Schizosaccharomyces pombe: one gene and its partners. Changing the gene in region 1 together with any one later gene gives a genetic interaction. Each region holds a gene or a part of one and is shown in the gene's direction. Other genes may lie near its edges.

The links.
Region 2: mutations in vrp1 (region 1) and ntp1 together harm fitness less than expected from each alone (positive genetic interaction), as found in Schizosaccharomyces pombe (one large-scale study listed by BioGRID).
Region 3: mutations in vrp1 (region 1) and mug113 together harm fitness more than expected from each alone (negative genetic interaction), as found in Schizosaccharomyces pombe (one large-scale study listed by BioGRID).
Region 4: mutations in vrp1 (region 1) and ppk38 together harm fitness more than expected from each alone (negative genetic interaction), as found in Schizosaccharomyces pombe (one large-scale study listed by BioGRID).

What each region holds. Positions count from the first base shown.
Region 1 is NC_003423.3:3,052,904-3,062,358, forward strand, and holds vrp1 (verprolin), read left to right. Parts: upstream 1-2,361; 5' UTR 2,362-2,571; coding exon 2,572-3,370; intron 3,371-3,422; coding exon 3,423-3,553; 3' UTR 3,554-3,856; coding exon of another isoform or gene 3,857-5,157; intron 5,158-5,172; 3' UTR 5,173-5,314; coding exon of another isoform or gene 5,315-5,427; 3' UTR 5,428-5,488; coding exon of another isoform or gene 5,489-5,553; 3' UTR 5,554-5,900; downstream 5,901-9,455. Other genes in the region: SPOM_SPBC13E7.07 (uncharacterized protein), read left to right, coding at 1-429; RNA polymerase II-associated Paf1 complex protein Leo1, read right to left, coding at 702-1,800, 1,991-2,181; transcription factor TFIIIB subunit Brf1, read right to left, coding at 3,857-5,157, 5,315-5,427, 5,489-5,553; rbd1 (rhomboid protease), read left to right, coding at 6,229-7,125; rpl102 (60S ribosomal protein uL1), read left to right, coding at 7,667-8,054, 8,316-8,578; beta-glucan synthase adaptor protein Smi1, read left to right, coding at 9,410-9,455.
Region 2 is NC_003423.3:202,402-211,378, forward strand, and holds ntp1 (alpha,alpha-trehalase Ntp1), read left to right. Parts: upstream 1-4,179; 5' UTR 4,180-4,676; coding exon 4,677-6,884; 3' UTR 6,885-7,240; downstream 7,241-8,977. Other genes in the region: protein wwm3, read left to right, coding at 135-566; protein wwm2, read left to right, coding at 2,248-3,069; protein Atg38, read left to right, coding at 7,401-7,424, 7,521-8,771.
Region 3 is NC_003424.3:2,825,083-2,831,910, reverse strand, and holds mug113 (protein mug113), read left to right. Parts: upstream 1-4,981; 5' UTR 4,982-5,092; coding exon 5,093-6,073; 3' UTR 6,074-6,328; downstream 6,329-6,828. Other genes in the region: rRNA processing protein Faf1, read left to right, coding at 1-101; spd2 (ribonucleotide reductase (RNR) inhibitor family), read right to left, coding at 702-919, 1,105-1,112, 1,312-1,394; palmitoyltransferase complex subunit Erf4, read left to right, coding at 2,727-3,245; rit1 (initiator methionine tRNA 2'-O-ribosyl phosphate transferase), read left to right, coding at 3,224-3,282, 3,562-4,864; glutathione synthetase large and small subunit Gsa1, read right to left, coding at 6,448-6,828. UniProt on the Schizosaccharomyces pombe protein: Has a role in meiosis.
Region 4 is NC_003421.2:2,388,799-2,396,559, forward strand, and holds ppk38 (Ark1/Prk1 family protein kinase Ppk38), read left to right. Parts: upstream 1-3,420; 5' UTR 3,421-3,473; coding exon 3,474-3,597; intron 3,598-3,642; coding exon 3,643-3,773; intron 3,774-3,841; coding exon 3,842-4,289; intron 4,290-4,343; coding exon 4,344-5,593; downstream 5,594-7,761. Other genes in the region: spx2 (SPX/EXS domain-containing protein), read right to left, coding at 63-1,154, 1,220-1,492, 1,559-1,908, 1,961-1,965, 2,006-2,135, 2,192-2,217, 2,260-2,273; arrestin family membrane adaptor Mug170, read left to right, coding at 5,877-6,526, 6,565-6,814, 6,873-7,204, 7,250-7,298.

The sequences.
Region 1 (9,455 bases):
ACGGACGTTGAAGATACTCAAAAATTAGAACAGAAACATTCAACTACCCCTTCCTCTTTGAAAATGAAGTCATCAATATCTCTCGCCGCTATTACAGCAGATGACTCTTTACATAATTCGTTTTCTTCAAACGATATCGATGATGGCTTTCAAACTGTTACCAGCTCCAGGTCGTACGGCAAAAAGAAATCCACTGAACCTCTTACCAAAAGGCAACGTCAAAATCAACAAAAAAAGCTACGGGCTAAAGAAATGCAAGAACTTGCAGATGAAGAACAACGAAGAAGGCTTGCTGCACATAGAAAAGAGCTTCATGAAGCAAATAGGCCTCGTGGAGGGCTAAACAATTCTAGCCGTTCTGCTTACTCTTATATTAACAACGGTCAAGCAGGCTCTTCCAAAGGTAACCGATATGATAGTTTGTGGTAGGAACTCATATCACGCTTTAATGATCACAGAAATACATCTCAACACCTAATCCGCCATATTTGCTTTAAAAAAAGTAGTTTTATTTTATATAGTTGCTCACTACAATTCTCGCTATTGTACATGTGAATCCCATTGCGTTAAAAATTAGACAAGATATAAGAATAATGTACAATTAATAAACATCTTTTAAATCAACGAAATAACACAGAGACCATACTTCGCAAACAAACAAATTGGCTATTTACAAAAATTGAATTACAAGCTGTTTGGATTTATTCGCTATCGCTCTCAACAATCCGACGCTTCACTCTTCTTTGTACAGAACCATCACCGACAGAAGTCTCTGTAACGGTCTCGGATCTGTCAGTTTCCACTGCGCTAGGAATTACCTCATCGTCTTCATATTTATTAATAGTAGCTCGTGCTACACTTGCTTCTTTATCCGCATCAAATCCTTTTATATCGGAGCCAGCTCCAACTTCTTCTTCATCCTCTTCATCTTCTTCTTGTTCCTCTTCTTGTTCCTCTTCCTCTTCCTCTTCCGCTATAAAGTCACCAAGGTCATCTTCTTCATTTTCTTCCAGATCCTTATTATAACCACGATATTGACCAGCTCCTTCTTGTTTAATTCGTTTTAAACGATCCATACGGTCACTGTCAATGATTTCATTTTGTTCGCTATAAGTAGAACGGGGACCGTAGAAGGAAGAGTAATCCTCTTCTTCTTCTCCTGTTCCATTCTGATAATTGTTCAATTGCTTTCTTTTCTCTAAACGTCGCCGAGCTCGACTTCGTTCCTCCTCATATTTTTCAGCCTGACGCTTTAGTAGTTCTGGATCCTTTTCAATAATAATTTCTTGTACGCTTCGACTAGGAACCTGGACTGTGGTGAGACGCATAGATGGCAATTTTGATCTTGTAGCAGTGTTAATGGCTGAAGGGAGGAATGTAAAACTGCTTTTGAAGGATGTTTGAACTCTCAGTAAATGTTGTGCTTCATGTGAGGCAGTAACAAAAGTTGGTTGAGATATTAATTTATTTTGGGTATCATATATGTCGTTACCAATGCGAAGTGAATATGAACCATCAGACCATTGTACAATTTGCGCATTCGATTGATAGCTTCCAGACGGCCCCAATCGCCAGCGGACAGTATTATCAACTTTATGTTTTATTCTTTGACCCCAATGCGCGTCGTGTTCTAATAAAGCTGCATCTGCTTCGGCTTCCGCGGCGTACTGCTCTGGATCGTACGGAGTCTGTTCCACAGAAAGGAAATTTGGAATATGAGCATGAAACACGTCATTACTAGCAGAAGCTGGTGATTTGAAATTGGGAACAGCGACTTCAAGGACTTTCTTTACAGGAACACTAACATTTGTTAGGATGCATAGATTTAAATAGCTTGCTATAGTAAAAGACGCTAATTTTTGATTTTTTACTAAAAAGCCTCATGAAGCGATTTATTACTTTCACCACTGTGGCAGCTGTATAATAAATACACATTTAGAACTACCATCGGCTAGAATCAATTCGCTTCATCTATAAGACTGCAACTTACTCTGCTTCAGGGGCTTCAGTAGCCTCTTCTGTATTCGAAAACAAGCCGTCATCGCTAACGGCTGTTTCACTATCGTTTTCTATATGGCCATTTATAAGTTCATCTTGCTGCGAAGTATGATTGTCTTCATTCTCACTAAACAAATCATCTTCCTCTTGACCGTTGCGGATGTCTTCTTTAGAATCCGACATTAAATCTATTTAAATTCCTCAAAAATTCACCAGTCTAAACTTTCCAGATTGGTTCCGGTCAGAATACGTATGGTGTTGTACTAAGATGCATTAAATTGAATAATCACTAGAAGGTACAATCCTGTTACTTGTAGTGCATGGTGGTGGTAGAAAGCTTAGGGTAGCTCATAGTTAAAACCCATACCCGTGTTTCCACTTTATATTTTGAGTTATATTTATTATTGTCAAAGTATATAGCGAATATTTTTTGTAAAATCATTTAAAATCTGATAATTTAACTTTTACTTTTATTGTATTGTTAGGTGTACAGGCGAATTATCTACTATTTTGATTACAGACCTCAAGCTTGTTAAGATTTATTTTTGATTTTTAATTCTTCCTTCTTATAAAATGGCACCTGCACCACCGCCTCCTCCTCCAGCACCAGCGCCTGCTGCTGCTGCTCCGGCCCCCCCTCTAATGACCGGAGATCGATCAGCTCTGCTCAATTCTATCCAGAAAGGAAAGAAACTAAAAAAAGCTACAACGAACGACCGATCGGCTCCCGTTGTCGGAGGAGGTGTCGTAGGCGAACGTAAATCTAACACTCCAAAAAGCTTTGCTGCTCCTCCTGTACCCACAGGCGCACCCTCTTTACCGACTTCTTCAAATAATACTCAGCAAGCAGAAGAGAGACCTTCCATGCCTGCATTAGGAGGTTTATTTGCTGGCGGCATGCCTAAGCTTCGTCATATTGGAAAGTCAAGTGCTTCAGCCGCACCACCTTCCGCTCCTGCTCCTCCTACTCCACAATCTGAGTTGCGTCCGCCAACAAGTGCGCCCCCTCGACCTTCAATTCCTCCACCATCTCCTGCATCTGCTCCACCTATTCCTTCAAAGGCACCTCCTATTCCATCGTCTCTACCTCCACCTGCACAACCTGCTGCACCGGTGAAATCTCCTCCTTCAGCTCCTTCATTGCCCTCAGCGGTACCTCCGATGCCACCTAAAGTTCCTCCACCTCCTCTATCTCAAGCTCCTGTTGCTAATACATCATCACGCCCTTCTTCTTTTGCTCCACCAGCAGGACATGCACCTAACGTTACATCAGAATCTCCTAAATTTCCTAATAGAGGTCCATCCATTCCTTCAGCTTCTGTTCCTCCAGTTCCTCCATCTTCTTACGTCTTGCAGCAGCGACCTAATCGTGGTAAGTTTGCGATCATTAAAAGCATTATTTTTTTATTAACACAAAACTCTAGTTGATGATCATGGAAGATTCCACTTTAAGGATGATAGTTACTTACCAATTCCTCATCCCTTTCTTGGAGTCCCTAAAGTTTATCGGGGTGGTAGTGGCACTACGGTCCCTTTGAATCTCTCTTCATTTTAACAAATCTTTTTAAAGCTGTGTACGATTAATCTACTACCAGTGTTTAGTTGTTAAACACAGAATTTTCTTTCGTTAGATGGATACTAATAATTACTCAGTGATAGAAAAAAACTAAAAATTCATGCGGCCTTTTTTATGAATATTAAAATTATTTATAAAGATTCATTAATCCTTATAAATAAATCGTTAAATAAACTCTAAAATTAATAAATTAATGTATAAAAAAGGATTATCGTACAACAAAAAAACGAATGTTCTTAAATAGCCCCAAAAAACTCCCAATTGCCCAAATTTAGTAAAAAGTTACGACTGCTCTTCGTCAAATAACATATCCAAAGCTTCATAGTTGATTTTTTTTGAAAAAGCTCTTTGTTGCATCATTTCTTTTGCACTTTCAGCAGCAGTATCGGCTATTCCATCACTAGTGCTATCTCTAGGACGATATCGTCTTCTTTTACGAGGTTGTCGGACAATTCCTTTTTTTAAATCTTCTTGGAGTTTTAAATTTTTCGCCTCTTCCTCAGCTAAATAATCTTTATTCAACTCCATCCAAACTTGAGTTTTAGTCAATATTTCATCCTTGTCAAGCAAAATATCTTCAATTTCATCATCATCAACGTCTTCTAAGGTAACTTCTTCCTCCGAAAATTTAACGTTAACTTGTAGAGAAATCTTTCTAAGTTCATCGCCCTTAAGGGTTTCAGTAACCTCTTTCCTAATTTCTCTTTCATCGGCCTTCAAATGCACAGGAGTTTCTTGAGATTCAACTTTTACTGTTTGCGAAAGCTCTTCAGACTTAACTTCGTTGCCATCAAAATCCGGGGTCCTTTTAATAGGGGACATGTATTCTTGTGTGTGATCAATGTTTGAAACTTTTTGAGCACCGTATTGTTGAAACTTTTGATTTTTAGTAAAGCTAGGAGGATCGCTCTGTCCTTCCAGCCAAATGTTTCGAAAGTCGGCGATTGAAAGATCACCGCTCTCAGTTAATTTAAACTCATCAAGGCGTTTTTGAATAGTGATATCCGCAACTTTCACGACATGAACCACTTCTCGTACGCTTCGTCGAAAATTATTCATTCTTGCTGCAATGAGTAAGCATGCACCACAAATTCCAGCTGGCCGACGACCAATTTGCATCCAGTCTCTATTCATTCGCGCTACCAATCTGATAGCGTCGTTTGCGACACGATGTGTTTCCGGTCCAAATTCGAGTAAAGAAGCAAATCTACTGATATATAAAGACGGATCTAAAAGAGGTAAATTAGGCCTTAAAACGCGGCACAACTTGAGAAAAGTAGACCCAAGCTTAAAAACGTTAATTTGCAAAATATCAGAAAAATCGATTAACATATGAGACGTCTTAGATATCCGGCAAACAATATACAAACAGGATGCAACAACGTATTGCGATCTCCTTCCTTTTATAAAGTTGTTGTTAATTGCCAGTGTAAAGTAGCGAACTGCTGCTTCGATATGGCGTTCGTTAAGTTTTAAAGCAATTGCCAATGCCGAAATTCGGCGACGTCCGTTTGCAATGGTAAGTTCTCTGGATTCTACGGATCCTTGATTTCTGTAAGGGCCACCAAAAGTCCGAGCATGAGCTAAAGCTGTGTTAGATATAAGTCGATGAAAAATATGGACGAAGAGGTGTCTATTAGTAAAAGATCAAACCAAAATTTAACACAGACTGAACAAAAAAAGGTGACTGCATCAGAACTGTAAAACACCGCATTGCTGGATGATTGCCTTCTAACTTACTTTGATCATTACTCACAAGAGAACCCTGAACAACAGCTGCACCAGTTGAAGCCTCTCCGAATGTCACTTCCGAAACAATTGCATCTTGCTCGACGACAACACCGCATTGTGTACTATTCAATGGTTAGCAGTCAATTGCCACGTTAAAATTATATAATAAAAAAAACAACTTACCAATATGTATTTCCAGAAGCGGTATCAGATTCAAAAGTAGTTGAACCGCAATTTGGACATCCCATGGCGAATAACTGAAAACACTTGGGCGTTAGCTGTTTGGGAAATGGTATTTATCAAAGATTAAGTTTAACCCACATGGAGTACTTAAGTGGGGGGGGGGGAAAGAAATATCACTGCAAATATGCATACTAGCATATATTTTAAAGGTCTACAGAGAATTTAATCGGGTTTAATTGTTTGTTATTTTATTTTGTTTTTTTGTTCTTTTTTAATGGTTTGGAAATGAAGAGCGTTAAAATAAAATTAAAAATAGTAAATTGAACTTTGCTTCTGTATATGGTATTTGGACTTTTTAGTTTAATATATATTATAACAATTTTTACTAGTAAATTCTCTAGTTTATCTCGAGCATTGCAAGTTTAGCAAATGATTAATGAATCGTGACTATATGGTTCATTAAATCTTTTTATGTTAATTAACTTGTTAAAAACATTGTTTGGCATATATATTTATATAAGATTATGCAAGTAACGTAATTAGGAGAATAAAAAGTAAGACAGAATATATAAAGAAATAACTTAAATTGCTTGAAGTTAAATAAATATTGGTAAAGATCTTAAGGTACTGTGAGAAGCGTAAGCGGATTCTTATTTCTCTATCTTAGGCAACACTAGCGTTTCTATGCATACAACCTCATAGTCCTTACTCACCTTTTCTCACATATATTTAATACGCAGATGAATCGTTTGAATTTTCAAAGTTTACTCTGGAAATTTGGACAAAAAAGGTTTTATTACAGACCATGGATCAGAATTGAAAATATTAAACCAACACCATTATGGAAACCGATTACATTTGCTGTTGGTGTTGGTTCTGCCACCTTTTATACGGCCAATTATCTCGATAAAAGAAGAAAAAACTACCCCAAAAGCTCATACGGATTTCCAATTCCCCAAACATCTAGTCGAAGTTTGGTATTGTCGATAATTGGAATCAACGTCGGTGTGTTTGCGTTATGGCGAGCTCCGAGGTTTAGTCATTTAAATAGATTTTTACAAAAATATGCTGTCATGAACCCTATATTTATTAATATGCCATCGATGATCGTATCCGCATTCAGCCATCAATCTGGATGGCATTTGCTATTCAACATGGTTGCCTTTTACTCCTTTGCGCCTGCAATTGTTGACGTTTTTGGAAATAATCAGTTTGTTGCATTTTATATTTCTTCGATTCTTTTTTCTAACGTTGCTTCTCTCTTGCACCATCGTTTGCGCTTTGGGACTAAAGTTACTCCAGGATCATTAGGTGCTAGTGGTGCAATCTATGCTATTGCTGCTGCTACATCTTATTTCTTCCCAAATGCTTCTGTCTCCATTATTTTCCTTCCCTTTATACCTATTAAAATTGGAGTTGCGCTATTAGGCCTCATGGCCTTTGATGCTTGGGGATTAATTTCTCGAGGGTTTTCCTCCTTTGCAAACTTTACACTCATTGACCACGCTGCACATCTTGGAGGTGGAATATTCGGTTGGTTGTATGCTAAATATGGCTATTCTACGTACAACCGATCGACTCGTCCCCGTCCACCGTCGTTGAGTAAACCATTTTTTTCAAGATCCGTTTCCTTTTGAGCTATGTTTTAAAAAATTCAAACACTACAATTTTCAACATGAATTTGCATTTTGGATTTCATTATTTTATTAAATGTTTTCTCTAAATCTGTAGTATGAACCAAACCCTTCAGGTGAGGAATAACAGGCATCTGCTTGAATTGATTGTTTTAAGCAGCCATCAATAGGGCAGAATTCTTTTTTGATATAAATCCCAAAGACGTATAGCTAAAATTTTGATTATACTTATGTATGCTTTGATTTCAACAGTTTCACAGCTAATTTCTGTGACATTACACGCATCATCAAAAAACTACCTTCCAAAATACTTTTTAAAAGTACTCTGTAACTCATACTCAAGGCACACTCGCATTGTCGATAATTATCGTTACTGAAGCACCGATTTGCCATTAGTGTATTTTTACTGAACCGTACTTGATCTCGTTGTAATACCATTGTGTACTGAAGCTGAGCTATATAGAAACAGTCACAAAGATAGTAGAAGTTAATGTTAAACTGAAAACGTTTTAAATTTTGTTATATTGCATTCTGAATATTGAAGATGTCAAAAGTTTCTCCTGCCAATATTCGTTCTAGTGTTGAAACCATTCTCAAGGGTTCAGAGGAGAAAAAACGTAATTTTACTGAGACAGTAGAGCTTCAGATCGGTTTGAAGAACTATGACCCTCAGCGTGACAAGCGTTTCTCTGGTACTATCAAGTTGCCCAATGTCCCCCGTCCTAACATGAGTATATGCATTCTTGGTGATGCCCATGATCTTGATCGTGCTAAGCACGGAGGTGTTGATGCTATGTCTGTTGATGACTTGAAAAAGTTAAATAAAAATAAGAAGCTTGTGAAAAAGTTGGCAAAGAAGTATGACGCCTTCATTGCTTCCGAAGTTCTTATTAAGCAAATCCCTCGTTTGTTGGGTCCTGGTTTATCTAAAGGTAAGTTTATTTCTAACGGTTGTTGCGGTATGTGTGACAGATTGATCAGATATGCATGGACTATCTTGACCACTGTTTTGCATTGCGCTCTTGTCGATTTGTAGATGAATTAATAAAACTGCTCTAGCATGTAGTTTGCTGGAGTTCTTTTATTATGCTTGTAAAGTAGTCATATACAGTTTATACGAGCGAATGAACCGCACGGCCTCACCTTTCAGTTTTTTGATTGATAAGGAAGAGTTACTAACTCGATGGCTATAGCCGGTAAATTCCCTTCTCCTGTTTCTCACAGTGACGATTTATATGGTAAAATTATTGAAGTTAAGTCAACTATCAAGTTCCAACTCAAAAAAGTGCTGTGCCTAGGCGTTGCTGTCGGTCATGTCGATATGGCTGAAGAACAATTAGCTGCCAATTTGTCTTTGGCCATTAACTTTTTAGTTTCTTTGTTGAAAAAGGGCTGGCAAAACATTGGTTCTTTAGTTATCAAGTCGACTATGGGAAAGCCATACCGACTCTATTAAATAGAATATACGGTGAATAATTCTAGTGTTTCAGTACTAGGTTATAAGGTTTGGTTATAACATTAATAATAATGTACTATTTATAAAAATTTAAGCAACAATTTTCCAGATTGATTGACGAGCGGTAAATTGTAGTTTTATCAAGTTTATACAATGTATTAAAAGTTTCAACGTTAATATTTTCCTTTTCAAATTCCTGAAATATTATTACTAACAATAAATGTGTTTAATATGATTTAGAAGATATATTGAGGTTACTCTGACTCTCATTTCTTGTAATGTAACGCTATCACGATTGTAACAAGTTCCAATCAAATCTTGTAAAATTAAAAGTCTGCTAGCTAGCTTATCGGTGTCTGTTCAATGCATATTCGGATTTGCTCAAACGACGTTAGCTCTTTTCAGTTATCTTCGAAGTTTCCGTGATCAGTTACAAAAGATAAAACGATTTATTTTCCGCCTTGTAATTTTAAAAATATTATTGTAGATTGATGATTTTTATTGTTTACAACGCATTTGTAACCTATGAACAACCGCAAAATTTGTTACCACTGTCAGTTTGCCCAGTGCGAACACCTCCGACAGACAACCAACAATCCTCTGCCTGAAAAAGTTTATATATTCCCTAAGGAATTTGGCAAGATTAAACGTATTTTGGAGATAAATTACCTATTTCTTTTTTGAACGAAGCTTTTAAGAGACTTATTATACCCTCTTTTTCTTTCATCATATCCATTTTCTATTTTGTTTTGGAATTTTATCTCATATCTTTTATAGCCATCTTTGTCTCATACTCTTGCATTCAAATAAAACTATTACAAACGGTTTAAGATGTCGAAAAATTCGTTTTCTTCAATGGCGAACTCTGTCACGTCGT
Region 2 (8,977 bases), 2.8 Mb from region 1:
TCTACTTCGCTGCTAATTCTTTTTTTCTTTTGACATTTGTGCCTGTCTATTAATAATTCTTAACAGACATACTCTACTTCTCACTACTTCTTTTTTTCTAAGTTACAGTTTCTCATTAATTACTTTATCGAAAGATGTCTGTTTATCAAACTTACAAGGGCTTGCCAGCTGGTTGGGTCGCCCAATGGGATCCAACTTATCAAGCTTACTTTTACATTAATGAAACGTTTGAAGGTGCTCAACCACAGTGGGAGCCTCCTATTCCAGGCTTGCATATTCCTCCTCCTCCCGGTACCACTACCGTCGTCTATCAAAAGGACGTGCCTCGCTCTTCTGACGGCTCACGGTCTATGACGGCTGGATTAGGAGGTTTCATGGTTGGAGCTTTAGCCGGCAGTGTTCTTCGTGGTCACCGTGCTTACTACGCCCCTCCTCCTCCCAGAGGCCCTTTGTTTGGTCCAAGAATCGGTGGTGGCCATCATGGCCCACTTCATGGTCCTCACGGTGGTTTCGGCGGCCGCGGTGGTGGACGCATGGGTGGACGTGGTGGACGTGGCCGCAGATGAAAAGCGTTGATTTTTATTTAAATTTGGTTCCGATTTCGTCCTACATACTATGGTCGTTGATTATGGAATCGCTCTTTTTTTTTGAGAACATCACTTTCTCCTTTGAATAGAATCACCAAATTCACGTATACGACTCTTTCGAAATTGTTAAATGGAAAACACGATATCCAGTGAAGTTCTTTTTATTCCCTTGAAATTTCATACTATTTTTGCTAATCGTTCTAAAATTGTTATATTCTGTTAGTCGTTCTTTGACCTAATTTCTTGTTTACTTATATTAATTTTGTTATCATCTGATCTTTACTTGTTTCAAGCTTCCTTATTTATTGTACCATTGCATTCTTTATTGGGATTTCGAGGAAAACGGTCTAATTTATAAAATTTCTGTTTAATACCAAAGAAGTAAGGAGCATATATTATAATGGGTGTGAATATCGACGGAGTTGGTTGTCGATGGAATCATTTTTTTGGCATTTATCACTTCGACGTGTATTTACTTATTTATTTATATTTTTTTTTGGTTAATTGTAAAAAATTGGGTGAAGCACAATTTTTGAAACTTTTAAAAAATCAATGGTTGTTTTTTCAGACGTTAAATTAGTTTATTATGCATGATTTAAAATAGTCAATTATATATCTTTCATTTATTATTATCATTGTTTTTTCATTACTAGTTGTCCTTTTTTTTTGGGTATTTTAGTTGAATAGTTTATAGTGGTGTATTACTGACTATATAATTGGCAAACTCAGATATTTGTTTGGTTTTGGATTAAATGCACAATTCCGAAAAAATTAAGGCAGAAAGAAAAAAAATTTTTTTTACACTTATGGGATGTCATACCACTATTTTAAAAGACAAACAGATATCATTTGAATCGTTTAAAACCTGTATTTATCAAGCTGTTTAAAATAAGAGAAATATAACTTGGCTCTTGGATACACATAATGAAATAAGAAAAGTTAATATATTTCAAAATTAAGAAATATTATCTACGGTACAACATTTATTTGTTCATATTACGATTATTCAGTAAGGATACGTAAATTTGTACCTGGCAATTATCAAATGAATGTCGAGGGTTTTCATAGCAATGCAAAACCGTTTGTTTTTAAGCAAAGCCGGCGATTAAAAAGGGTAATAAGAGCAATTTTCCTTTTTCAATTAGCTATGTTTCAAGTCAAGCAGCATTAGTGAAACCCTGATATTCTGAGTTTGAATAAAACAAATTGGCAGTCTATTTTCCATGAACAGCTTTCGATAATTAGTGAAGTACTTTTAAAAACACGTTAATACCACTTTAATGGAACTCGTAAATTCGTAAACTAGGAATGACGAATTATGGTTTGGGGCAATCACGATATAGTAAAATAACGAAATTTGCATAATGCTACTACCACTACATCAGCCTCTTATGTAATGATCTGTAGCGTATCAGATTTTCATTTCTTTTATAATCGTTCTATACCACTGCGCGATTTCTCCTTTTCCCTAACAGATACAGCTTACCACCAAAACTTTCTATCTTTAATACTCGAAAAATTAAGTATATAGATCTTAGAGAGTGATTTTTGAATATCTGCCTATAACATTTTTCTTTTCTTTGGTTAGAATCTTTCTAAGCCTCTATATCGTTTATATAGGTTTTTACTCTGTGTCTTTACAGAATTAATCATATAAAAAATGTCTGTCTATCAAACTCGTGAAGGTTTGCCCAGTGGATGGGTTGCTCAATGGGATGCTGAATATGGAACATACTTTTATGTTAACGAGTCAGCTCAAAATCCACAGCCCCAATGGGAACCACCAGTCGAAAATCTGAAACTTGCTCCTCCTCCAGGAGCCACAAGCGTTAATACAGCTGTGTATAATAACAATAACAATACTTCTGCTGCGAATACGAATGCTGCATACAATGCTAATACTGCTGCAAATGCCAATGCTAACACTGCCACGACTACCAATGCTGCCGCTACTACCAGCGCTGCATATAACCCCAATGCCCCTGCCAATACCAATGCTGCATACTATCCTAATGCTGCTGCCACTACCACTACCAATGCAGATGGTAGTGATAAAGGGCTGTTCAGTGGGCTTACCTCTTCTAATGGCTACACCACTGGCAACTCTTACAGTAGACCAAGCTACGTTGCTCCTGTCGCTGCAGGGTTAGGTGGATTGGCCTTAGGTGGCCTGGCTTCACACGCACTTGGCAATCTCTTTCACCATCGTGGTCATAACGGTGGTGGTTTCGGAGGTTTTGGTGGTGGTTCTGGCGGTCCTCCTCCTGGTCCTGGTGGATTTGGAGGCTTTGGAGGCTTTGGAGGTGAAGGCCATCATCATGGTGGTCACGGTGGCTTTGGAGGCGGCCCTGGAGGTTTTGAGGGCGGTCCTGGTGGCTTCGGAGGCGGTCCTGGCGGCTTTGGAGGCGGTCTTGGAGGTTTTGGAGGAGGCCCCGGAGGCTTTGGGGGTGGTCCTGGAGGTCATGGCGGTCCTGGTTGGTGAGACTGAGAAACATGGAACTAAATATTTGTTTATGAGCTTTTTATGTGAGTATATTGCGCAATAGATATTAAGTCGATACCGTTAAAAAATTTTTTATGTTTATACTCAGTTATTTTGCTAAAGTGAAATTGAATTTTATTAAGGTAGGACTTTCTGAAAGTATTAAGTAGAGCTGGGCAATTTTAGAAGTGCACATAGAAAAGCTCGCAAGCAAGCAATTTTGATATCCCTGTGTTGTTGTTTTTTAGGTTTATGTAGGAATGATTCAATGCAACAGTTTAGATATAGGTAAACATAAGTGCTGTATCTATAGCTGTGGAAACAATTCATGCTTGTTCATACGTAACATTTTATGCGCAAGTATTAAAAGATTCTAAAAAATATCTATTATGTTCATTATCTCGCACACGTCAAACCCAGTCTACTTCGAAATGCGTACGTGTATACTTTGGCTGTATACAATCTGAAATTTGAAATTTAAAGCTGTCAGATTAGCTTCTATTAATATTGCGTAAATCGGTTAGTTCAGAGTCTTTTATCCCAATACTTCGTCAGATTTGTATACTTTCTTCATTAAAAGTACATGTTTATCTTAACATAGAAGAGGTAAGTACCGCTAATTAACCGAATTGCAACTTGTAATTATAACAGCCAAATCATTTCAAACCAGAAGAGTGCAAGTTTAAAAAAAAAACCGATAGAACAACATACAGTGCCGCATTCAAACTACACATACATAGGGTTTCATCTCGTGGTATATAACGAGTCAATAGAGCATTCTCAATGTTAAAAAATACGGAATATTGTGGTTCTTTACAAAACTCATTACCTTCTCAATAGTACCACTAAAATCAGTGATAACTGTTTCAGAGGCGTCCGTATATACCTTTTTTACTGTTGTATCTTAATTAGCCAATTTTCTCGTATCTTCTTTCTATGTTTCAGCTCATTGTTTTGATTATAGCGATGGTGTTCACCGTTGCTGCTATCCTATTGCCGCATCCTTAAACTTCCATAAGCTCTATAGGTGTCAGGTAGACTACGTCATTGAGTAACGAACTACATCAGCGTAAATTTGGTTTAGAATGTATGAGAACTTAGCAACTCCAAACCACAAATATCAACGACAGGATTATAGACTGATACATAGAAGAAACTAGCAGTTCTTTTAAAATTTTTTTAGGATTTAACGATTTATACCTATTGGGGTACTAAGAATTTGGTAGAGTTACTCAAATTCAGTTAAAGACACGGATTTTCCTTATACGTAATTAGTGTCGATTTTCTGAAATCTTGCTTGCTATTTTATAGCTTAGAACGAAAAAGCAGGAATTTGTTTTGTTTTGTTTTTTTAAAAAAAAAAACACTTTATCTTGTGAATTGCTTTGGAAAGTGAGCGTATTCCTCGTAGGAGCTTTTGAATTTTTGATATATCGTTAGCTTGTAGTGAAGGAAACGGAAGCCATCAACGGAATAACCTTGTTCTCCATCATTTGCTATCATTCGTGAATAGGAACAATAAAGAGAAAAAAAATACATTTTTAAAGAAGTTTATATATACATTGATCTAATAGTGAAAATATTTAACACGAATAAGTTTGTTTCATATGCCTTCGAAATTTTCCTCTAAATACGTGGATACAGAAGCCATTTCAAATGATGATGACAATCCCTTTGCAACCGCTAAGAGTTATTACTCCAAGGATACAGACTTGTCGACTCGGGTAAGTGCTGGCCGTCCTCGCACCTTATCCACTTCGATGGAGGCATCCGCCGCACCAACTATACCAGAATTAAAGAATTTACGTCGACGTGGAAGTCTTGATGAACATAAACAACCACGAAAATTTCTTGTTGATGTTGATAAGACATTGAATGCACTTTTGGAATCTGAAGACACCGACCGGAACATGCAAATCACCATCGAGGATACCGGACCTAAAGTTGTTTCCCTTGGCAGCGCTAGCTCGGGTGGATATCGCTTGTATGAGCTTCGCGGCACATATCAATTGTCAAATTTACTTCAGGAATTGACCTTGGCAAAGGATTATGGACGTCGATATATTTTACTTGATGAGCGAAGACTTAATGAAAACCCTGTGAACCGACTTTCTAGACTCATCAAAGGTACCTTTTGGGATGCCCTTACTCGAAGAATCGATGCCAGTGTTTTGGATGTTATTTGCCGTGATACCAAAGACCGATCAGGATCACACGTGAATCGAATTTATGTTCCTAAAGCCGAACAAGAGATGTATGAATACTATGTTCGCGCTGCTAAGGAAAGGCCTTACTTGAATTTACAGGTCGAATATCTGCCGGAAGAGATTACTCCAGAATGGGTGAGAGATGTAAATGATAAGCCAGGGTTACTTGCACTTGCAATGGAAAAATACCAAGATGATGAAGGCAATACACATCTTCGAGGTGTGCCATTTGTCGTTCCTGGTGGCCGGTTTAATGAACTGTACGGCTGGGACTCTTACTTTGAATCACTGGGTTTGCTTGTTGACGATCGGGTTGACTTGGCGAAAGGTATGGTGGAGAATTTTATTTTTGAAATTACCTATTACGGTAAGATCTTGAATGCCAACCGCACTTATTATCTTCTTCGCTCCCAGCCTCCATTTTTGACCGATATGGCCCTTCGAGTTTATGAACGTATAAAAAACGAAGAAGGATCTTTAGACTTTTTGCATCGGGCCTTTTCTGCGACTATAAAAGAATATCACACTGTTTGGACTGCCACTCCACGACTGGATCCCAAAACTGGTCTTTCCCGCTATCGCCCTGGAGGACTCGGTATTCCTCCGGAAACTGAAGCTTCTCATTTTGAGCATTTGCTTCGTCCTTACATGGAGAAGTATCATATGACTCTTGAGGAGTTTACTCATGCATACAATTACCAACAAATTCATGAACCCGCGTTGGATGAGTATTTCGTGCACGACCGCGCAGTTCGCGAAAGCGGGCATGATACTACTTATCGGTTGGAAAAAGTTTGTGCTGACTTGGCCACCGTGGATCTGAACTCGTTGCTATACAAATATGAAACCGACATCTCACATGTGATTTTAGAATATTTCGATGACAAGTTTGTACTTCCAAACGGAACTATAGAAACTTCTGCCATTTGGGATCGTCGTGCTCGTGCTCGTCGTGCTGCAATGGAAAAGTATCTTTGGTCAGAAGCTGATTCGATGTGGTATGATTACAACACGAAGTTAGAAACGAAGAGTACTTATGAAAGTGCTACTGCTTTCTGGGCCTTGTGGGCCGGTGTGGCAACTCCCCGTCAAGCCGCAAAATTTGTTGATGTTAGTCTTCCCAAGTTTGAAGTTGCTGGAGGTATAGTTGCTGGTACAAAGAGAAGCTTGGGTAAAGTGGGTCTTGATAATCCCAGCCGTCAATGGGATTATCCTAATGGCTGGAGCCCTCAGCAGATTTTAGCTTGGTATGGATTGATTCGATACGGATATGAAGAGGAGACTCGTAGACTTGTATATCGTTGGCTATATACTATTACTAAATCGTTTGTTGATTTTAATGGTATTGTTGTTGAAAAATATGATTTGACCAGACCAGTTGATCCACATCGTGTTGAAGCTGAGTATGGTAATCAGGGTGTCAATATCAAAGGCGTTGCTCGCGAAGGTTTTGGATGGGTTAATGCCAGTTACGAAGTCGGCCTTACATTCTGTAATTCGCATATGCGTCGGGCTCTTGGTGCTTGTACGACTCCTGATGTTTTCTTTGCCGGCATCAAGGAAGAATCTCTTCCTGCTTTCGAAAACCTTTCCATTCATAAAAATTAAGTTATCGTTTGCTTGAAAAAAATAATCGACTTTGTCTACTTTTTTAGTTGCCTTTAGCTTTATTCTCTTATTATGTTATTTTGGTTATCGACCGGTTAAAACCCATTGTTATGTTACATGTTATACCTTCCATTAAATCCTTCTACTATGAAGGTTCTATTTGGCGAATATTCCCTTACGAAACAATAGTTAATTCTATTTAAATTTATGAGTAAAGCTTATCACCAGCGATATTATTACTTTTTTACTTAAAAGAAAGAAGTAGTAAATGAATTTTTTACCTTACGATTCAATTCTAATTTATAATTTCCATGATAGTACTGTTGTTGCAGTTTTAGTCCGAATATAACTCTAATGTTTAATTTGGTGTCTATCACTTTATTAGTTTTTTTTTTGAAGGAATTGTCTTCTAGAAACTTATTTTGAGTTAATGTACCGTATTATGTCGTTCACATTTGTAGACAACATAAGTTGGCCACTTCCTTACACAACAACAGTATATTATTAAAATGTGTTATGGTTCGATATTCATTAAGAAAGGTAAGAGATGCTTAAAGAGATAAGGATATGAGTAAATTTAGTGTTTGAAGTTCGTAATTATCGTTCGCTTTTGAATGTGAATGTTAACAAAATTAGGCGCATGAATACGCCCGAGATGGGGAAAATCAGGAAGTTTTGGGAGAAATTTCACAAGCAATTATGTATTATGGATTAGCAAAAAGTCAGTTTGAAAAGATATGTCAGAACACAGCTCAGCCTCTTATTAAAAGATGCGCAAATAACCAAATCGAAGAGTTGATGGTTCGTATACGCGAGTTACGAGAATCATTGCCAAACAAACAAACACCAATATCAATGTCAATGTCTACGAGATTATCACCTATGTATACTTCTTCATTAACTCCACGATTTACGTCCAATTCAATGGTTTTACCAGGTGATCATAATACTACTGTTCGACTAAAACCAAGCTTTCGTGAAGCTTTAATGGAAGATTCTGAGGACGATTTATATCAAATGTATTCTAAATTCGAAATGCAGGTTAAAAAGCTGTCAACCAACTATGGACTTGCAGTTGCTTTTTCCATCGTTCCCATGGATGATGATCAGCCATCACCAAGCATATTTAGCTCCGATGAGAGTTTTTTGATCGTAGAAGGTGATGATTTTTCTCTTGGTAACAGCGTTGAAGAAGATGCCAATGCAACAAGCAAAGAAGATCCTGCCTATCAGAATACGAACGAGCAGATTCAACCGCTATCGAATTTCGATATAAGTCAACAAGAATATTTAAATAATACAAGGATTCCATATGAAAACGAGGATTTACATTTACAACACATTACTCAAGGAACTACAGATGATAACAATGTATCCAAGTTTCTTATTCCTTCATACAATGATGCTAAGGAATTATCTGAAGAGGAGATGGGAAGAAGTCATAAAAGGGAAGAATCATTTAAAAGAGCATTTGGTCACGCATCAAGTAGCGAAAGTAGTATTGGAGAGATTACGGATTCTAGGGAGGATATTCAGTCAAACCGTCTTGTTAACGGCTCTTGGGAAAATAATGATTTTACTAAGGAAATAAACAATAACTTCCCTGATAGATCTGAAACGCCAACGCTCCAAACAATTGAAGCTCCGACCAAACTCATGAAATATACCAGACGCAAAAGTCTGTTTCGGTTTCCATTTTTTCGTTCAATATCTGGAAAGAAAAAAGAGGAGCCTATGGAGTCCGGAACTGATTCACTTGAATCATCTACGGCACAGATTACGGTCGATTCTCAATTGAAAATCAAACAGCTTGAAACACAAATCGCAACTTTACAAAAGCAACTGGAGCAATTTCAAACCAGTACTCTCGATCAAGATCTTCACTAAATGTCATTACTCGATTTACTTATTAATTCTTTAAAGAAACGGCAACTGATCGAAAATCAGTTTTCAAAGCAATACATTATGTTGTCTCTGCAAAATTCTGTATGTTTCGTTAAATTGTGCCTTAGTTTTCCTTTTGAAGAGAAATGCATGGGGAGGCAAAATTACGATGACATGGTCTGTGGCGAGCCATCCTTAATGGAATCAAT
Region 3 (6,828 bases), on another chromosome or scaffold:
GAAAACAGTTCAAAAAGGGATTTCGTCCTGTTACTTTCTCAGCGCCAGGTAAGCTCGTGGGCGGTACTTTACTATTGCCAAAAAGCATGATACCTAAATAAAAATTTAAAAAAGAGGAAAATTTGATTTTCGTGACAAAAAAATAATGACTTTTTCTTCTTAACTATTTATACCACCTTTAAAAATACTGAAGCTATGGAAGTTGGATTTTTAGTAACTTTCGACACATTCAAATGGTGTTTTATTTTCCTTTTTTTTACCTGGAACATTTAAGCTGATTATATTTGTGAATGTAAGACGCATACGGACAAGGAATTTTGGTTTTGCATAGAGGGTACTTAGTTTTTAATATTTGAACACATTTAACGTAATTTGAAAATAAAAATGGTACTATTATGAAAATGTTCAAAGGAACAAACTATAGCAGATGAGCGAGCGACGAGAAAAAAGAAACACAAAACAAATAATTTAAAAAGTATAGTTTACTAGTACTGAGTCCGCATATTCATGAGTAAACAATACTACAATAAGCAAGCAAAAACTAGAAAGCAAAGTCGAAGAAATAAATTAAGTAAATCTTTATCTTCAATTCAATTTCATAGTTTTGAGTAATAGTTCATCTCAATAACAAAGATTTATGCTATTGAAAATATACATATTACCCAATAGTATCGAAAGCTTTATCTTGCTCATTTATTCATTTAATGAGACTTGAGAAAATCAGGCTTGGCAAAAGAATCGGCGATTTCTTGAGTGGAGGCGGTATCCCAGAAAATAGAATCAGCAGCCAATTCTTGCTTCAAATCATCGAGACGAAGATTAGGATCATGTTTTTGCTGAGGAAGCTCATTTCTATCAGTTTGATCCTTGTGGTAAGAAGGGAAAAGTTGTTGGTCAAATTTGTAACCAGTTTGAACAGCTGCTAAAGTTAGTAAAAACTGCTTTCATCTAAACAGGAAAAAAGGTAGAAAGGAAGTAGTTTCTATAAAAACAGTTTTCCATTAAAAGTATAAACATGAAGAAAGAGTGCTTTATAGAAATTTTTGATTAAGGTATTAATAAACAAATCCACTCATTTTTTTTTTTTAAATTTGATTCACGTACCTTTGCGACTAAATGATTGTTAGTTATTATACAAAAAGACTAAAAAAGAGTTAAATCATCAAATGCCGTGCTGCAGTACAATTGTATTATAAGTTTTCAAAAAAGTACTTAGACCTTTAAGCCCTGTCTCTTACAAAAAAAGATAGCAGAACAATCAGCATTTTGGATAATTCAACGTTTAAAAGTAAAAAATTGGATTAAACTTACACTCTGGCTCCAACATCAAAAAGAGTAGTTTGAACTAGCTGGGGAAGTTCGTCATGATCGGGAAGCTTGAACGTTTCAGACATCCTGGATAAGTAAAACAATTAAAAAGTATCAAACAGGGGGAAATTGACAAAGTATAGTTAAATATAGGTAAAGACGGAGTGGTGAATCACAAATGCTAGCAATTACCAATCGCAGAGCAATCTTTTAATTTTCAATGATTAGGTGGTAGATGGTAAGTAGTTTGGGGTTGCGATTGTAGATCATACGAATTTTCTGTGACTCGAGACAGGTAACACTTTTTCTATTGTTTACCTATGGAAAAAAAAAACAAAACAGTGTAATGCGATACATATTTCCTTTAAACAGTTATGTTATGGGTATCATGAGAAACTAAATTTTCATCTTCGTAAAGGAGGGTTCTTTTTTAATCGTCTTTCTTGGAATTTCTTCAAATCATGAATTCAACTTGCATAAATGGATAAGAAAAGTTGGTTGTAAGAATCTATAGATATATATTTAGCATGTTTCTTTTATTTAAACGAATATTCCTTTTAGAAGCGAGTAAGCTTCAAGTCGTATAGAACGCAGACGATATTAAGCCTAATAGGATCTTTAACGCTTAACTTAATAGCAAGCACAATGAGTTTTAGATAGCTGAGTACTTTAAAGCAACCTAACTTCCCTTGCAGCTAAAAAAGTTTATTGAACTTGATTTAAGACGCTCTTCTTGGACTGAGCAAGGACTTCAAAAAAGCCCGCATTCGTTGTCAAAGTTTTATCTCATCTAACGACTAAAGTAATATGAGTCAATGCTCATATAATATACAGTCGAATATTTTTTATATTTTATTACATTTATTTTCCCAAGTAGTTTTTCCAGTTCATTCTAAGTAACTTTTATCGTAGATGAAATATATCCTGTAGAGAGCTTTTATCCTCTTCCTGAACGAGCAATACGTTTTATTAATTTTCAATTCCTCAACAACTAAAACCACATCCTTTTATCAATCTTAATTTTCACTATAAATCCGTTCAAATTACCTAGTGACAAACTGTGTGGTTTTTGTTTCAAATCTGAAACTCACTCAATTAATCATAATGATTTTTTAAAATGAGTTATCATTGCCCATTTTACAGCTATTCACTCAATTAATCACTCAATTCTGACATTTAATACGTTTGTTTGTTTAGTTCCGGTTATATGATCAATCGATGAACTCATGAGTGTTTTATAATTTTTTAGTCATTTTTAACGTTGTTTAACTTATAACTTTCCTGTTTATTTATTTTTTTTCTTGTGCTCTACCGAATCCCAGTTTCATTATACATATTCTCTAATCCGTCTTCTAATATTGTACACTTGAACCTAGAGCTAGGGAATCCACCAAGCTTCATTTCAGTAGGTTTTTTCGATGCTTGTTCGCATTGAAAGGGATTATTCGGTTTCAGGAGATAAATATCCTCAATTTCCAACCGATTATCCTGTACCTCTTCGAGCTTATGTGAATCTTGAGGATTGGGATGTATTCATTCACACATTAAACGAGAAACTGAGAGAAGCCTTCTGTCCATGGTCAATTGGAAATCTATTAGATGGAATTCTATCTGTTTTAACGATTTATATCTCGGAGTTCGTATTTGGCAGTATTCATCGTAAAAGAATTGGGGCGATCGATTTGTACATCCTGGACTTTGCAACCCAACATAATTTATACGTTGCCAGCCTTCGCAATATGGGGTTTTTGAGTCTCGTTTTTCATACAAAAGAAACAAATTCGAAAAGTAGTACTCTCCATTCCAATCCGTACTGCCCGGAGCACCATTCTATACGAACACTTCCCTCTGCCGTGACTGCCACCACTTCAAATATCTCAACTTCTAGTTCTCACAGAAGTGATCTGCCAAACGAATGGACGAATTCGACCCTTTAGACGCTGTGCAACAAATTCATGTTCAAGCAAGACACCCGTAAGTCTCAATTTGCTATACAAATAAGCTGGCAGAATCAAAAGACTTAGAAAATGATTGCTACCTTTATAAACGCACAAGCAATTAATGCAAATTGTAAGAAAAAACGATGGATAGCTGCTATTAAATTTTCATGAAAAATTTTTAGCCTAATCGCCATTTGTTGGATTTCGTACTGATATATATTTTTGCTGATTTTTACTTGTTTTTCCTTTTTGCCTTGCTTTTCTTTTATTTGTATGTCATCGAATGGAAAATTTGGCTAACACTAATTTCAAGAAAGAATCGGTTGCTGTCAATTGCACACGATGCCAAGTTTGTCGACTCAGTTATAGCTTCGTACCCCACATTTAAACCTGTTGTAAATGAACGATGCGGTACGTGGTATGTCAACCGACGACATGCTCCGATTTCTGTTTATTTCAAAAGTACTGATGGTCATACCGGGCAATGGTCTTTTAGCTGTCGTCGTCTCAATTTGCATTTGCTAAATGAGATAACCACTTGTGATGGATTGATTATAGTAGATTCTACTCGTCGTGGAAAGAGAATGCCCGATGCTCTATCAAAGACGATTCCGATATGGATTGCTACGCTCAATAAATGTGTTTTCGAACGGCTTCGTCCCCATTCCTTTCCTAATGCTCGTTTGGCCTTTTTACCCCCGTTTTTACCTGATACAGAAAAATCATCTATTTTACAGAGGCTAGATGGATTTGTAGATTCTTTAATGCAGTCCGGCATTGACTTAGATGCGTTGGCGGCTAAGCTAACTAAACCCATTCGTCCTTTATGGGTAACACCTGCTAGTCGTTTAACATCTGCACAATTTGAAGAATATTTTACAGTTGTTCTGGTTACTGCAAGTGCTCAAGTACAGAATGGGTACTCCCGAGAACATGGATTTCTTTACGTTCAAGGAGCAGCAGATGACGAAGAAGAATGGTCGCATGGGCTGACCCCTGAAGTCTTTTGGCAAAATACTGAATCTATCCTCACATGCCCAGAGGAGCAATTGGAGCAAAAAATTAGCCTCCTACTATCTTCAACTAGAAACTCACCTACCATGTCAAATTCTTCGTTAACCCATCTTTTACCAACTCCTATATTTGTTGGGGATGTTACGGGATTTTATCCCCCTCCAGAAAATACATCTTACTTTGTTTTGAATTTGTCGAATACCACCCTGAATGTGAAGAATGAACTTTGTTTTCCAATACCGTCAGGAAAAAAAGGTGCTCCGGTGTTTCGCAAGCATTTCCCTTCAATATTGCAAGAATTAAATTCACTTGATCCTCCATTTTATGAGAGAGATGCTATATTTATTGTCGATGAAGGAAATGCTAAAGAAGCCGCCTCTTGTCTTGCATTGATGATTCTTTGTTTATACTACGACCTCCATATGCATTTACTTGCCCATCCTATATCTCTATCTGCATCTCAGTCTCACCTTACCAAGCAAACGGTTCGCCAATTTCTGGTAAAAATTACAGAACTACACTCCAAAACAAATCCCTCACGAGCATTCCTTCTTGCCGTCAATTCCCTTTTACTTAGTGCCAATACTATTGCTACTTCTTAGTAGTGGCACTTGGAATGGCAAAAATGTTTACGGTAAATAAAATAACGTAACATGAATCGTTTCCTTAAACGAATCCCAATGTCAACATTAAGCTCAGTTTGCTTTTTCCGTTTCCCTGATTGTTAAAACTTTTGAAAAATATCTGAAAATACGAGTAATTGAGTTTGTTCATACATTTTAAGACTTTAGAGGCTTTGAAGGATGTTGATATTGTTTGATTAGGATTTCATGAAAATGCCGAATACTCTGCATTCAGTATCAATCTCTACAGATTTTCCTTCCCCAAATGTAGAATCGGAAGCTGCAGACGTGAATGAATATTCCTCTACTTCAAAATTTGAGACATTGGGTAATCAGAGCTCTACAAACCTCGGTTTTTCGAACTCCTTACAAGATAAGTGGGATTGCTGGAAACGGGATTTGTGGTCTATTTGGTGGTCCTTAAGTCGTAAGGCAACGAGATTTTATAGATGGTTGTCTCGATCGTTAAAATGGCGTCCAGTTACTTACGAAACAGTATATCCACAAACTTATGAAACTCAGATGTCAGAGCCTAGAGAAGTTACTACAATTGTAAAGGATTTAAATAATGGGGATTCTTTTGTCTTAAATGTTACTGAACCTGTTGACCCTGAATTTTTGCGTGCCAATATACCTCCTGTTCATCGTAAACATCTTCCACCCAGACTTTCATTAGTCGCTTCTCCGGGAACTATTCCTACTCGTGGAGTTGTTGTATTAGAAGATTGGATTAATCCGCTACTATCCGAAAGATGTAAACTTCTTTTACAAAGTGAGCTTTGTAACCAGGATTCTTATGATTGTCCGGGTTATATCTGCGTTTACAGATTTGAGCAGAAAAATAACCCTTCGGTCGTTTTAGGTGACTCTACCCTCATCCAAATTTCCAGAGTTTCTGACCTTCAGCGACACCTTCGTGAGTACCCTAAAAATTGTGCCTTTTCCAGGTCGGTGTTAGAAATTTTCCCGGATCCCGGCAAAACTTCTAAGCCATGCCAAGTGAGTTTCAAGGTTGAAAGGTTAGTACATAAGGAATTAAATGAGTATCTTTCTTGGATGCAACCTTTTACATGTGATTCTTGTGGATCACTTCATGAGAATTGGCTCCAAATTGACAGTAAACAGTGGGACCAAATTCGTGGTGTAATATTACGGTGGGTAGAGTATTCTCGGGTCATTTATGCTTGAATCGTTTTTTGTTTTTTTTCCTATCTTCTTACTTGTTTTGTTTTTATTTTGAACACAGGAGATTTTATTTTTCTCCCAAAATACTTTATAATTAATATCTTCTTTGAGGCACTTAAAGGATTTTTTAAGAGTTTTTACTGCCTTTTCTGGGTTCCTTTCTTTTTATTATCGCATAACTGGTAATGACTTTTTCGAAAAGTTTAATTAATGTATAATAGTAATATCATCGATTTTAAAAAAAAAATCCGCATCTTGTCTATCATGTCTATTGATATCTTGAAGTAGCAACGTGTTTCAGATCAAAAATTTTATCAACATCTTCACGTTTGTCTCACATTAAATACCTTTGACCTGGTGTAACTGATACACAAAATTTATTCAGAAAGTTCAATACTAGATAAAGAAGCATAGCCTGTTGCAACACCACCTTCATTAGTTTTTTTGGGTTTGGTACGACAAATGAAACCCGACTGTCCATTTTGAACGACTTCGTCAGTCTTGATGTTCCAAACGATCGTACCTAAAATACCAATTTCGTCGACGACATCAAACTTTTCAGGTCTTTCTCCCTTCAAAATATAGTTTTGTGATGGAACGGCATTTATATAGCGCATTAAAATGTAAGAGTCCCATTCTTCCTGAGGCATTTTGCTGAGTAAACCAGGAATGTCTTTTCCATACGTATTGTTTCCACCACCCTCTCGTTGAGGCTTTAAGACAAAGTCCTCGGGTTTTTCGAATGCGAGTTTAATACC
Region 4 (7,761 bases), on another chromosome or scaffold:
AGTATGCGACGATTTGAATCAAATAAAAATAAATAAAAGTAAACACAAACCAGCGAACTTACCCTATTATAGATTTCTTCGTGCTCCACACGAAGGATGTTCCACATACAACGCCGCATGATCTCAGCAAGGGTCACAAAAAAACTAATCCCTGAAGAGTGCTGAATGTGGTTGGGAAATATGCAATAGAATATAAAAGAGCTTCTAACGATAAAATTTAAGATCATAGCTATAATATACGGCCACAACTGTTTTAGAATTCGATGCTCACGGAATTGCCAACGACCATCCTTTCGAACCAAAAGGTTCCAATCCATCAAAATATCCCACGTATAAGAAAAAAGTGAATTTACGCCAGCAAAAATAGTATACAAAACCCGATATTTCAAGCCGGGATGAATCCTCCACAGACTTAAAAACATTTGGGCGAGGATATTAAAAATATATTTTAGAGCATTCACAAGATGTGGAAAGCTTTTCAACGAATCTGAATATCTTCGGAAACATTGAAAAACACGTAAGATGCCAGGCAATGTGGTAAAGAAACCTAGCAAGGGAGAATGTGATGAGTTACAAAGCTGTGGTTGTCGCCAAAGTCGCTTATAAAGGCAAAAGAACAAAGATATATTACCGCATGCATAAGTTAGACTAACCATTTGATCAGCAAAAAAGAAATCCTGAAAATGGACAGTAGAAAGCCCAGATAAAAACACACGGATAAGCTGAATTATCAAGTATCTTCGCATTCTCCAATAGGGAACAATGACGGGGGCTATTAAAAACGTGCCCACTACTCCCAAAAACAGGGCCGGAAAATATATTGTGAAGCCAGGAAAGAAATTTCTCATACACAGGAAAAAGAACAGCGAAAAAATAAAGAAGACTGCTCCTACGATCTCCAAATGCTGACGCCAGTTTAAAGATTTTCTTTGATTAAATTCGAAAATAAGCATGTAGTTAACCCGTGTCTTCTCCCACACGTAACAGTCTAAATCAAACAGTACGAACGCAAAAATTACTAAAAAAAAACCTCCCCATATCTGAAGAAGGTAGGAGGATTGCTCAGTAGCATTATAATAGCAAGCAGCCTCTATAGCCAACGGTAAACCTGCACCAAACAAGAGTCCAAATCGCATCGAGTTTGCAGAAAAGTGCTAAATAACCCAAGTTAGTAATTAGAGTATAACGTAAAGTCCAGATGCAACTGAATTATACTTACCTCTTTTTGACGAAATGACTTAAGATGCTCTAAAGCAAGCTTCTTGTTATGATTGGTAAAAAGACGAGCATATATGTCTTCAACATGCAATTGCCAATTTGTAGTGATGCTGAAATCTGTGAACGTATATCTGCTCATATAATCAACCCAAAAGCCCTGAAGATCTGTATGTAATGTTTTATCATACTTTTTGACAATCTTTCGAAAGGCTTGTTGATTAAGATGCTGGTACTGAGAAACCAATTTGAGATAATCATAAAAGTCCAGCAATGTCTAGTTGAAACAATTAGCAAATTTACAAACATCTATACTATGAAGGAAAAAAGCACTGAGGCATACCGTTTTCAATTTAGATTTCAGTTTGCGATAACTGACCATCGGAGTATAAGCATCAGTTGGGACACTCTTCCTAGCTGGGATATGATAAGCAGGTTGAAGTCGAGAAAAATTGAGGATTGAATCAAGCCTTTGTCTGAGTTTAGAGTGCTGTTTCTGTATTAATACAACAGATCCCGATTCAAGGGTCCCCTTTTTGAATGCACGAAGCTTTTCATATATATCGACCTGATCGCTAATAAGATCCATTCTTTCTCGCGCATCAGACACCAAATTTTCAAAAAATTCTTCCACCTTGTTTGCTTGTTGGTCAAGAAACTCTTGAAAAAGGGGATGAAACCGATGAATTTGCCCTAGGTCAAAAGCAGTTAGAAATGCATTTTTTAGAGATGTCAAAAAACGTACCTCGTCTGTTTTATTAGTCAATAGTGCAAATTAAATAAAACTTACTTTACAATGGCTTCTTCAGGTGTTTCTCCCAAAATCCCTGAAGTACCATACAGACCCTCAGAAGGATTCTTTGCAATGCCTGCGATTATTTTTTTCCCCTTTTTGTAGTCAAAATAAGCAGAAGCCCATTCTACTCGAATTAGCATATCCGAACGTCAATTATTTTTCAACTACAAACTAGCATACCTGCAACAGATTGTCCTTCGATAACCCTGTACAGTTAGTAAGCTTCAGAACTTTCAAAAAATCCTTACTTTCCGAATTTCATGTTCAAATAATTTTTAAAATTAATTACATAAAAGAAAGAATATATGTATATATATATATATTGACTTAGGAAACTCTTTTTTGCAAAAATTAAAAGGCAATATCCTTCAAACGACTTTAAAGCATTCAAAATTCTTGATATCGAAATATATATCAAAATTAAGAAATTTAAAGCATGTATAAAATTTAGGAATGTTTTCTGGTTACTTTGCTTTAGATAGAATGTTGGTTCTAGTTGCCCTTATTAAGATAAGTACACCAAGTGGTATCTGCAAAAAAGGTAAATTTAGTGGTTCCAAGGGATTTATATTTTCATTTAACAATGTTTAAGTATCGTGAATTCTCGGTTTAATTCTTGTGATCTCGTGGTTAATATTAAGAGGCAATTGTTAATGGATGCCACAAAAAAAGTTAAGTAGGGCCATTATTGGGGAAAATGCGCTTTAACATATGTATTGTAATTATTTCACTTTTTTTTGTTTATTTTTCCTCAAACTTTAGAAAAATCACGATTAACTGATCGATGCGATCTAATTATGCTAATTATGATATAAGCGATAGCGAGTTGGAGGTCTGTCTTACTTTACTTCAATTCATAAGATTAATTGTTTAAAAGTAGATAATCTAATGGTAGTATCTTCTGTTCCAATCCTCACAATGGATGATAGCTGTGTTTATTGGAGTTAGTCGTCAATGCATTTGAAGGACAGGAATTTTGCTAATGTAATGAACTACTAGATTTTTAAGTTAACATTTGACGGAGTTCGTCTATTTAAATTTTCCTTTAGCTATCATAGTGGTCCGTAATGCAGCCTTTTATAAGTCTTTCTGCAGTCCCTGAAGCAACAAATTACTCCATCATGTATTCACTATTAGAAGAGAGAACTAAGAAACTTAAATGAAAACATAACTATAATTTTTAACTTAAATAATGCTTGTCTAGTCTTGTCTTCCATAGTATTTATTTTTTGAACTCAGCTTCATCTGTCAATAATGCAATCGAACTCGCTTGGATGCATTTCTTTTTCTATCATATGAAGGCTATCGAATGTATCAATTTATACAAAGGAATAATTCAGTAAAGGCCAATAATTGAATATCACCTGTTTCACTTATATATTATATATCCTAACCCACGTTCCGCTCCTAAACCACCAAATTTACATTGAGTAAATCTGGTTGCAGCAGACTTTCTTTTGCAATGAATGAAACAAACAACACTTCATTGCTTCCAGTATCTTCTTTACCTTCAGGTCTTCTGCCTGTTGGTTTTAGTTGTACGGTGGAAAAGTTTTCGGTTACAGTAAAACGATACCTTGCTGAAGGTATGTAAAATCATCAGCTTCCAAATGTTAACAGCGTATCTTTAGGCGGCTTCTCTCATGTATATTTGGTACAATTGGTCTTCCCAGGAAAGCCACCGTTTGAGGCAGTTTTGAAACGTATCTTTGCAACGGATGCTATGGCCCTTCGAGCTGTGCACGAAGAAGTACGGACTATGGTATGTCCTTCTATCCTGTATTTTGTTGCTCTCCAATTTTTTACTATAAACTAACGACTTGTCTTTAGAAACTTGTTAGCAACCAAAAACGGTGTGTCTCATATTATGGCTCGGAATTTTTTAGGACATCAAAAAATCAATTCGAGGTCCTTGTACTATTGGAGTATTGCCCTTGTGGAGGCTTGATTGACTTTCTGAACACTAGACTTCAAGTTCGTTTATCAGAACAAGAAATTTTGAAAATAGCTTCTGATGTTACTGAAGCGGTTGCAGTAATGCATTACTTGAAGCCTCCGTTAATTCATAGAGATCTCAAGATTGAAAACGTGTTACTAGCTGCCCCAAATTCGTACAAGCTGTGTGATTTTGGTAGTGCATGTCACCCAATACCGGGTGCTAAAACGGCCGCTGAGGCCAAACAGCTAGAATATGATATCGAAAAATTTACTACTTGGCAATATAGATGCCCTGAAATGATTAATGTCCATAAAGGATTTGGGATAGACGAGAAAAGTGGTATGGTTTCTTTGTAACGTTATTAGAATATATTTCGTTAACACTAGCTTTTAGATATCTGGGCGCTAGGGGTTTTGTTCTATAAACTATGCTATTACACAACTCCGTTTGAACATCAAGGGCTTGCTGCTATTATGAATGTTAGTTACGCTTTTCCAACCTTTCCACCTTATTCAGATCGGTTAAAGCGACTAATTTCAACCTTATTGCAGCAATATCCTTGGCAACGTCCTAATATCTACCAAACCTTTTGTGAGATTTGTAAGATGCGTAATGTTCCTATACATATCTACGACATATACAACGGTAAAAATGTATCCAGCTGCAATCCTTCTGGTTCCGAATATCTGCAACATGCTTCCAAGTTAGAAAACAGTGGAATTCACCAGAGTAAATCATCCGTGTTCCCTCAGCCTGCTTCTGCTATGAAGCCAATGGCTTCTCCGATGTTACCCAATGTAAACTCGATGCCTTATCTTTCTAACGGAGATCATAATAATAATGGAAACACTTCTTCTCCTGTCTCAAGGTTTTCGTACGGTCAACATACTTCAAATGTACCTTCTACTCAAAAATTACCTAGCAACTTCCGAGTTACCCAAGGTGCACCACCTAGTCATACTTATGGACCACCTCCACCCGTCCAGCCAAAACCTAAAATATCTCCTACGACTCCTCGTTTAAGCACATTAGCTCTGGCTGACGATATGTTTTCATCTACGGCTAAAGAAACTGTTCCTACAAACGAAGCTGTCTTTACTGGTGATGTTAAATCTTTTGATAGTCAAGAATCAAATATTATAGAAAGTGAACCTCTTTCAGCTAGTAATGCTTCGGGAAAGCCAAGGACTAGTGTTAACCGTTTGGTTGATAGGTACAACCATACATCAAGTTTAAACAAGGTAGCTGCTGCTCCCGCTCCTGTCCCAAAACCTGTAAACTTAAAATCTGTGGAAAACCCACAAAACAATATATCTGCGCCTACACCCTCTAGTCTTCAAAGTTCCAATGCTCCAGTTGGGCTAGGCGAGGTAGAAAGCAAAAGTGTACCTCCAACCAATATGGCCACAGAACGAGGTGTGGTGGGAAGACGTGCCAGTATGTCTATTGCTGTGAATGCACGACGTGTCTCTAAACCCGAAAAAGAGCATACGAATCCAAACGCTGAGCAGGGCGATGTAATTCCCGAAAAACCTATGAGTATAAAAGAAAGAATGAATATGCTTATGACCAAGACTGATTACGAAAAACCGAAGGTTGAAGGCTATGGCCGTTACACCGACGTTCAGCAAACGAAAAAGTAATATTTTTATCATGATCTTCAAATGACCTTACGGATAAGTCAAATAATGTGGACATTAAGTATCTATATTTTACAAAATTTTATTACAATTTCTTTGTATATTTCTTTTTGCGCTTGTTTTTTTACCAACTAAGTTACCGTTTTGTTTTGGAATGTTTACCATCGAGTATGATGTTGACGAGTAAACAACCTCATTGGCAAATATCAGTTTAAGATTTCTCCAACAACTATTTCCAATAAATAAAAATATACATTCATTTTGATAACAACCTAATATCGTGCTAATGACAGAAGAACTTTTTAGTAACAGTGAAACTTGCAGTTTGTCGGATCCATTGACATCTAAAACATTGTCAAGTATAGAAAATCCTTTTGATGATCCCTATATATTAAGTGAAGAGTCAGAAATATTAACCATCAAAACTGATGTGTTACGACCGAATATTCTGAATAGGAAATCGTCTTTTTATCCTGAAGCTGATGCACCAGTTCGAAAATCTAATTTACAAGTAAAAAAAATCTTTGAAAACCAAGTTTTAAATTGTGATGGTATAAAAGTAGCAATAACGATTCCTGATACTTCCTTAATAGCTGGATCCTTGTTACATGGCAACATTTGGTTATCCTACGAAGGGGCAAAAAACGTGGAAACCGGTGTTTGGATAAAGGAAATGTTTCTCGATTTCTATGGTATTTTGAATTTTAAAGGCCATTCAGAACCTTTCTATTCTATCTCTGAAAAGTACTCGTTTTGCAACCTTAAGACATCTGCACTGATTCTCTCAAAGGCAGCTTCTGCCAGCATAGGCAACAAGGGCCTTTTCCTTAAATGTTCTTGTAAAGTTGGGTTTCCTTTCTCCTTCATCGTTCCTTTGGATATAGGTCCAGGTACTTATCATTCATCGAAATTAGAACTGTTATACTATATTTCAAGGTAAAAGATTAAACCGAAAAAAGTAACTGACATCTTAGTACGCTGACTTTAACATCTCTGGATCAAAATATTCGCTGTACTCGTTGTACAATTCCTAAACGGGTAATCACTTCAATGCATAATAATATAGCGGAGCTATATAACCCGATCTCATGCATTAAAAGCCTACCCTATCTTTCATTAGAAGAAGCAAAAACTACCTTGGAGGTTCATACGGACAGATCCTTGTTTTTTAGTGGTCAAATCATCGATTTTACCATTTGCTACACTCATAATCATCACAGAAGGGTAAAGTCTAGTAAATTAATTAAACTAAAGATAACAGTTAATCGCTAACTCTCAAAAGATTCATAATATAAAAGCACGATTGCTGGAAACTCATATCTTTCACCCTAATACTCAAAATCATTACGGTGGTTATTGTATGAACCAGGCCGAAGAAACATTCGCGAGTTGCGGATACTTGAAGCGTTATCAAAAAACTAAGACGAAAACAAGGGCAAAATCAACTTGGAAAATTGCTAATAAATCTGTTTATTCCAATTTGGCACCGACTCTAAAAAACACAATCCACGCACAAATCAAAATACCTGAATTTTGCCGTTCTGTTAATTTAAAAGATCAGCTGAAAATTGATTATACCCTTGAAGTTTGTTTCTCAGCATTTTTTAAACCAAGGTATGTAATCCAATCATTGTTTAAGTTCACACGCTAACAAGATAGAATTTTATCAATACAAATTCCTATAACGATTTTACATTCCTGGAACTAACATCAGCTACCTATAACATGCAGAGTACGCTTCTATATATCTACTGCCAATTCACTTAGTGAAACTAGATTGTAAATGAACGAAGACTGCATTGTAGAAAAAATAGAGATCATGATTAAATTACTTAAAGTAGAGAGCAATCAAAATATCACCAGGTGAAAAAATTTCGAAAGAAGGAAAATGTAAAAGAAAAGCATCTGGATTTGTTAAAGTTATGCAGAACAAGTAGGCATGAAAAATGTAGACTTCAGACGAACTAGTGAATGTCGAGAAGAAGCAAAAGAGAAAAGGACAAGATGCGAAATATTAGGACAAAAACAAAGAATGGTAATAATAAGTATGCGGAAGATTAAAGCAGAAACTTCCAACAAACTGGACGAAGAATTGAACTAAGCTGATTCAATATTTAAAAGCAGGGGTACAGACGTATTAGATGTTGAGAAATTGGTAAACAAATAAAAAG